Ovis aries: one gene and its partner. The protein of the gene in region 1 interacts with the protein of each later gene in a pairwise test. Links are inferred from orthologs where the notes say so. Each region holds a gene or a part of one and is shown in the gene's direction. Other genes may lie near its edges. The genes, in order: PNKP and ZNF639.

What was found.
Region 2: the proteins of PNKP (region 1) and ZNF639 interact in binary tests that used the Homo sapiens proteins (3 or more experiments, as listed by UniProt). The two-hybrid records come from large-scale screens. The link is inferred for Ovis aries from reciprocal best matches to the Homo sapiens genes PNKP and ZNF639.

The regions. Positions count from the first base shown.
Region 1 is NC_056067.1:55,947,031-55,950,945, reverse strand, and holds the start of PNKP (bifunctional polynucleotide phosphatase/kinase), read left to right. Parts: upstream 1-1,025; 5' UTR 1,026-1,213; exon of another isoform or gene 1,214-1,389; 5' UTR 1,390-1,402; coding exon 1,403-1,553; exon of another isoform or gene 1,554-1,877; intron 1,878-1,996; exon of another isoform or gene 1,997-2,223; coding exon 2,224-2,270; exon of another isoform or gene 2,271-2,372; intron 2,373-2,602; coding exon 2,603-2,905; intron 2,906-3,288; coding exon 3,289-3,368; intron 3,369-3,445; coding exon 3,446-3,503; intron 3,504-3,587; coding exon 3,588-3,695; intron 3,696-3,915. UniProt on the Homo sapiens protein: Plays a key role in the repair of DNA damage, functioning as part of both the non-homologous end-joining (NHEJ) and base excision repair (BER) pathways.
Region 2 is NC_056054.1:208,553,527-208,557,341, reverse strand, and holds part of ZNF639 (zinc finger protein 639), read left to right. Parts: intron 1-2,091; 5' UTR 2,092-2,102; coding exon 2,103-2,160; intron 2,161-3,163; coding exon 3,164-3,274; intron 3,275-3,815. UniProt on the Homo sapiens protein: Binds DNA and may function as a transcriptional repressor.

The DNA.
Region 1 (3,915 bases):
GCCTCACTCTCCGGCCCTGGCGTAGGGGAGAGAGTCGGGGGTGGGGATTGGGAGTTGGGAGGGGCGCTCTGAGATTAAAGAGTTTTACCTCTGACAAATGAATATGAAGTGTGTTCTGGGTATTCATTCACAATTTTTCGAAGCCAAATGAGCAGGTCTCATTGCTTCTCCACGCGAAGTTGGGAATTGAACTCGTCCCCATTTCACAGACAAGAAAAGGTAGATACACAGGGTGGAAGAAAAGATTCCATTCCTGTGTGATAGTGGAATCCCAATCTTCAGGGCTGTAAATTTCGGAATGAGAATAGTTTTGAGTCGGTCTCCTGAGCCCACATGCTGCTGTTGCTAAGTCGCTTCAGTCTTGTCCGACTCCGTGCGACCCCCATAGACGGCAGCCCACCAGACTCTTCCATCCATGGGATTTTCCAGGCAAGAGTACTGGAGTGAGGTGCCATTGCCTTCTCAGCTGAGCCCACGTAGTTCCCAGGAAAAGCCAGGAACCCCCAGCTGAGGCCGGGTTTCGGACTAAGACAGCTGGAGGTAAAAGAACAAATGGCTTCTGGTCTGAGGATGCAAAGGCGGAATCCCCGTCTCCCATCAGATCACCACCGATGGAATGCTAACAACAGACAAGACTTCAACAGGGTAAACTATTACCTAGACACCTTTACAAATTATTTACATGTACTAACTCAACGTTCCTTGTAACCCCACAAAGTGGAAACGATTATCCTCACACTAGATGAGAAAACTGCAGTACTGCTGTCTCGGCGGGATTTCGTCAACTGACAATAACCTTAAAGAGAATTTCCTCCCGCTGTAACTATCTCCGGCAAAAGAAATGAAACAAAACTTCAACGCGGAAAGAAAATCTGTGAGCATGGAATCCACTCCCCTCTACTGGCCTGAGTCTCATACTGCAGCAGAGGAGATGAAGGTCAGAGCTGCAGAAGTACCGCAGGGTTCCTGGGCCTGAAGGGGCGGGGCTTAAGCTGCAGCTGCGCCAATGCCCCGCCCACTTCGGTAGCAAGAGTCATTTCCGTGGGCGGAGAGACAGCAGCCAGCCGAGTCGCAGGCACAGCGCCTCCGGCAAGACGTCCCCGGTCGGAAGTGGCGAATGAACCAAGCGGTGGGCAGGGGTGAGCGTGGGGCCGAGGCAAGAGCGCGAATTTTTCGGCCTTTGCCCTGGAAAGCAGGGTCGAGGCTCCCAGAGGTAGAGTGGGGCGTCGTCGCCTGGGAAACCAAACTATCCTGAGGCCGATGAGTGGGTGGGACTTCCGGAACCTTTAGCGGAAGAAAGGAATTCCTAGTGGAGACGGCGGAAGGAGGCGGGACTTCCTGTAGCGACTGAGAGATGCCACTCAAACCTGTTTCCCTATTTCCCCTTAGGCCGACTCCCAGAATGGCCAGGGTGGAGGCCCAGGGTCGCCTGTGGCTGGAGAGCCCCGCTGGGGGAGCGCCTCCCATCTTCCTGCCCCCAGGCGGGCAAGCTCTGGTCCTGGGCCGGGGACCCTTGACTCAGGTTACCGACCGGAAGTGCTCCCGAAACCAGGGTAGGCGGGGCGGGGCCTGAGCTGGACCGGGTGGTGTGGCGTGCTTAAGGAGCGGGAACACAGGCAGTTGGAAAGATAGACAGGAGGGGATATGCTTGGCCACCATGCGGAACTGTGTGGTGCGGCCAGTCCCGAAGTTGGTAGGTGCCCCCTGTGGAGAGCACAGAAAGAAAAAGGGTGCTTGACCTGGATTTAGCCAGACACCTTGAACGGGAACGGATGGAGTCCATCCCGAGACACTTGTCACTGGGCAGAGAAGGATACTCACAAGTTGCCGCGAAGACTTGAATGAGGCCACGACCCTTGTTAAGCAGAGAGCCGGTTCTGTGGAGAAAAGTGCATATTGCTAAGCAGAGATGGGTGGTAGCGGGCCAAGCCCGGAATCTGCATCTTGTCAAGGCCCTACATTGTCAAGGAGAAGCCATTTCTACACAGAAAAATACCTGTTGTCTCCCTAGGCGAGGACTAGTGTCCCAGGCAATTGTAAGGCCTTTATCTGGCTCCTGCATGTCAAGGAGCGAGCCAGTCCTACTTAGAAAATAAACTGCTTCCTCCTGCCGAATGGGTGCTGTGGCCCCATCCTGTGGTTTGAAGCGGGGCATGCTCCCCAGTAAAGAGAGAAGCAGTCACCCAAGGATTCAGATGCTGACTCCACCCCTTCAATCTTCAGTGGAGCTGGTCGCTGACCCTGAGACTCGGACGGTGGCAGTGAAACAGGTACCGATTCCTTAACAAGAGGCAGCAGGACTGGGGGTGAGGATGGAGGGTACGGAGAATTGTCACCCAGCGGGGAACGGGCCCAATTGGGAAAATCAGACTGGGAGGGGAACAGGTGTGGCCCGCTGCAATCGGGTAAACATTGATCCCCGTTTAAATTGGGTAAGACGGGACGAGGCTAATCTTCCCAGAGCCTGATTGGCGGTACACGGTGAAGAGGCGGGACTCAAGGGTCTGATTGGCTGGTGGAGAAAGGCGAGTCCTTTTTCGGGTTATTTGATTGGAGAAGGTTGTCGGGGGTGGGGCCAGCACCAGTTACCGCCTCTCTACAGCTGGGAGTTAACCCCTCAACTGCCGGGACCCAGGAGCTGAGACCGGGTTTGAAGGGCGCTCTGAGGGTGGGGGACACGCTGTATTTGGTCAATGGCCTCCACCCGCTGACCCTGCGCTGGGAAGAGGCCCTCACTCCAGAATCCCAGCCAGACACTCCACCCAGCACCCCTCCTGTGACCCGAGAGGGAGAGGAGGAAAATGTTGAGCAGCAGAAAAAGCAGATAAGGAAGTCATCCCCTGGCTGGGAGACCTTCGAGAAGCTGCTGGTGTTCACAGCACCTGGTGTGAAGCCTCGGGGCAAGGTGAGGCCCAAGCTGAAGACAGCTCTAGCACAGTCCAGTCAACACCCAAACAAAACTTAGTTCATATTTGGATTTTCATGGTTATTAGTCCCCTGAAGTGAAAATAGGCCATGGAAGGAGGCTGGGTCGGATACAAAACCCATTTTAAAGATTGAAATACTGAGGGGCTCAGGAGGAGTGGGAGGTGGTAGAGAAGATTTCACTCTGCTGTCCGGGTGGCATCCTGTCCTTACAGAACATGGGTAGGCCAGCTGTGACTCGGTTTCCCCATCTGTAAGGGGCGGGCGCTCATAGTCCCAGCTTGCAGAATTGACGCGAACCAGCCTGCGAGCTAGGTGGCCCAGAGGTGTAACAGTGCTGCTCTTTTTTCTGGGTGACGCCAGGTGGCTGGTTTTGATCTGGACGGGACCCTCATCACCACACGTTCTGGGAAGGTCTTCCCCACTAGCCCCAGTGACTGGAGGTGATTGAAGGCAGTAGGAGAGGGTGGTGAGGTGCATCCGGGCCCCAGGTCACCTTGCGCTTCCTCGCCCGCACTAGGATCTTGTACCTAGAGATTCCGCGGAAACTCCGGGAACTGGCCGCTGAGGGTTACAAGGTGTGTACTCCGTAGGGGCCGGCTCACAAGGCGGGCCCGGGCCTGATGAGGAAAGGCCGGGGTGACACCCCATCTCCTTCACAGCTGGTGATCTTCACCAACCAGATGGGCATCGGGCGCGGAAAGCTGCGAGCGGAGGAGTTCAAAGCGAAGGTGGAGGCTGTGGTGGAGAAGCTGGGGGTCCCCTTTCAGGTATGGCTGCATGGGAGGCTGAAGGACTATGTAGAGGGACAGAGAGGCTGAGACAGAGGCCAGAGATTGCGTGGTGGGCCAGAAAGGAGGAAACAGAGACCCGGGGAGAAGGTGTGACATGGTGAGCCAGTTGGAGAGTGGATGGGGGCCCCGGGCGTGGTTATGCCGACAGATGCATTGCAAGCGGTGCTCACCTTGGTGAGCGTTGGCGTAGTGTCCT
Region 2 (3,815 bases), on another chromosome or scaffold:
TGAAAGATGATGCTGTGAAAGTGCTGCACTCAATATGCCAGCAAATGTGGAAAACTCAGCAGTGGCCACAGGATTGGAAAAGGTGAGTTTTCATTTCAATCCCTAAGAAAGGCAATGCCAAAGAATGCTCAAACTACCGCACAATTGCACCATCTCACATGCTAGTAAAGTAATACTAAAAATCCTCCAAGCCAGACTTCAGCAATACGTGAACCGTGAACTTCCAGATGTTCATGCTGGTTTTAGAAAAGGCATAGAAACCAGAATTAAAGTGCCAGCATCTGTTGGATCATCGAAAAAGCAAGAGAGTTCCAGGAAAACATCTATTTCTGGTTTATTGACTATGCCAAAGCCTTTGACTGTGTGGATCACAATAAATTATGGAAAATTCTGAAAGAGATGGGAATACCAGACCACCTGACCTGCTTCTTGAGAAACCTGTATGCAGGTCAGGAAGCAACGGTTAGAACAGGACATGGGACAGACTGGTTCCAGATAGAAAAAGGAGTAGGTCAAGGCTGTGTATTGTCACCCTGCTTACTTAACTTCTATGCAGAGTACATCATGAGAAACGCTGGGCTGGAAGAAGCACAAGCTGGAATCAATATTGCCAGGAGAAATATAAGCAACCTCAGATATGCAGATGACACCACTCTTATGGCAGAAAGTGAAGAGGAACTAAAGAGCCTCTTGATGAAAGTGAAAGAGGAGAGTGAAAAAGTTGGCTTAAAGCTCAATATTCAGAAATCTAAGATTATGGCATCCGGTCCCATCATTTCATGGCAAATAGTTGGGGAAACAGTGTCAGACTTTATTTTTCTGGGCTCCAAAATCACTGCAGATGGTGATTACAGCCATGAAATTAAAAGACACTTACTCCTTGGAAGGAAAGTTATGACCAACCTAGACAGCATATTGAAAAGCAGAGACATTACTGTGTCAACAAAGGTCCTTCTAGTCAAGGCGATGGTTTTTTCCAGTAGTCATGTATGGATGTGAGAGTTGGACTGTGAAGAAAGCTGAGCGCTGAAGAATTGATGCTTTTGAACTGTGGTGTTGGAGAAGACTCTTGAGAGTCCCTTGGACTGCAAGGAGATCCAACCAGTCCATCCTAAATGAGATCAGTCCTGGGTGTTCATTGGTAGTTATGATGTTGAAGCTGAAACTCCAAAACTTTGACCACCTGATGCAAAGAGCTGACTCATTTGAAAATACCCTGATGCTGGGAAAGATTGAGGGCAGGAGGAGAAGGGGATGACAGAGGATGAGATGGTTGGATGGCATCACCGACTCAATGGACATGGTTTGGGCGGACTCTGGGAGTTGGTGATGGACAGGGAGGCCTGGCGTGCTGCAGTTCATGGCCTTGCAAAGAGTCGGACATAACTGAACTGAACTGTGGCTTCAAAACTGTCCAAATATTCCCAACTGTAAGAAACATACCTATAAAACTCTTTTTTTGGTATCATAGGTACAATTTTTCTTTTATAGAAAATAAGCATTCAGTTCAGTTCAGTTGCTCAGTCGTGTCTGACTCTTTGCAACCCCATGAATCGCAGCATGCCAGGCCTCCCTGTCCATCACCAACCCCTGGAGTTCACTCAAACTCACATCCATCGAGTCGGTATTGCCATCCAGCCATCTCATCCTCTATCGTCCCTTTTTCCTCCTGCCCTCAATCGCTCCCAGCATCAGGGTCTTTTCCAATGAGTCAAATCTTCACATGAGGTGACCAGAGTACTGGAGTTTCAGCTTTAGCGTCATTCCTTCCAAAGAACACCCAAAACTGTTCTCCTTTAGAATGGACTGGTTGGATCTCCTTGCGGCTTATGTAATTATTCAGTTTTCACAATTACATCAACATTTGAAACGTTCTCAACCTCAGGAAGAAAGAAAACAGAACACAGCCTTTAAACTTGATCAGAAAAGTAATTTTAAAATATAAGCCAGATTGTTTAACATTTCTCTCTTGAAGTCGATTTTTATGACACATTTCCTATCGCCAGCCAATTTTTTTATTAGAAGAAATTTGCATAACAATATTAACACTTGTTATTTGTGATGTATTTGTTAAATTTTTCCATTTTTTAGATTAAAAAGATATGAATGAATATCCTAAAAAAAGAAAAAGGAAGACTTTACATCCTTCTCGTTATTCAGGTCAGTGTACGATTAAATTATTTAAAAGTTAGGCCGTGTTCAATTCTCATGCAGTTGTGTTTCCATCCATTTTCTCATAAATGATCTGATTAGAGTTAAATATCTGGGTGAACTTTTAGCTAAGAGGAAACTGTAAGTAAATTCTCTCAAAATATATTTCTCAATATCTGCTGTATGCTAGGCATACATCAGAATTTCACAGACATTTATTTTAATTCTCACAACTTCATAGTTTATAGATATTTAAGATTAGATATCCAAGTTACATACTTACATAGCATAATTGAGATTTGCCTGTGTTTCCCAAGCTTGTGCTTAAGTCTTAATAATAACCTTGATGGAAGTAATTTTCCATCATTGGAAAAAAACTTTATCCTGTACATTATTTTCAGAAATGTTTTAAGTTTCATTTTGATTATATGACTTTAGATCTTTTCTTTGAGTATGGCTCTACTATCTTGGCAAATAAGAGGTCTTGACCTCTTATGCTATGCACATGTATACTTGGGGCTGTCTCAGGTATACCTGGTAACCAACCCAGCCTACTTGTTTTTCATATCTGAGGAAATTAAACCTGGTCTACCTAACTGGCCCTTCCGAGGCAAGAGTTGAAATGACTGTCTTCAGAAGCCCTAACTGGTCCTCAGACCTTCCTCTGTGTATTATGCTTTCTCTGCAGTACATGGCAGATCTGCTTGGTAGTTAATTCAGTGTTTTTTGCAATTAACACATTTATTACATATTCATATTTTGTGGGACTCTTGACCATGAAAATTATATCTTAGTGTGTTTCTAAGTATTATATTTTAAATTGTATAATTTATGGTTATTTCAAGGCTCAAAGTCAATATCTGAATTATGAAAGCCTTCAGAATTCAAGAAAATATTAATACCTTATTACAATACTATGAAAATGTATTTATGTTGGATAAAGAGATGGCTGTCATTAGATGTTTATGTGTACGGTGTGCTTGAAAATTTTTTAATTTTGTTTTATGTTCAGATTCCTCTGGAATAAGCAGAATTGCAGATGGATTCAATGGAATTTTTTCTGATCATTGTTACAGTGTTTGTTCTATGAGACAACCGGACTTAAAATATTTTGACAACAAAGGTATATTTAAATTTTCCAAAATATTTTCATTCAAATTGCTTTTATAATTTTTCATTTCCTATTTGAAAATGTGGGTGAAAGTGATGATTTCAAAATGAGCAAGTATCTAAACTTGTTTTAAGAAAACAAGAGACTTTTGGGTAAGTGAATTTTAATTTTTAACATCATTTCAAACATATACATCAAAAACACATCCTCCTCTATCAGTTTTAGTCAGCTAGGAATTCGTGGCGAAGCAGGAGTGACCCAGAGTTTTGAGTATTTATGATGAAAAGTTAAGAATAGTGGTATTTCCGGGAGTTCCCTGATGGTCCAGTGGTTAAGACGCTGTACTTCCACTGCAGGGGGGTGCAGGTTTAATCCCTGGTTAGAGGGCTAAGATCCTAAGTGCCGTGTAGAGTGGAAAAAAAAAAAACCCCACACAGAAAGAACAGTGTTACACACAGTTGTTCTGCTCAGCTGCGTTTCTGTTTGGAGGGCTAATGGAAGGAAAGAACACAAGGTGAAGGATGTGGTCGTTTAAAGAACATTCAGTCAGAGA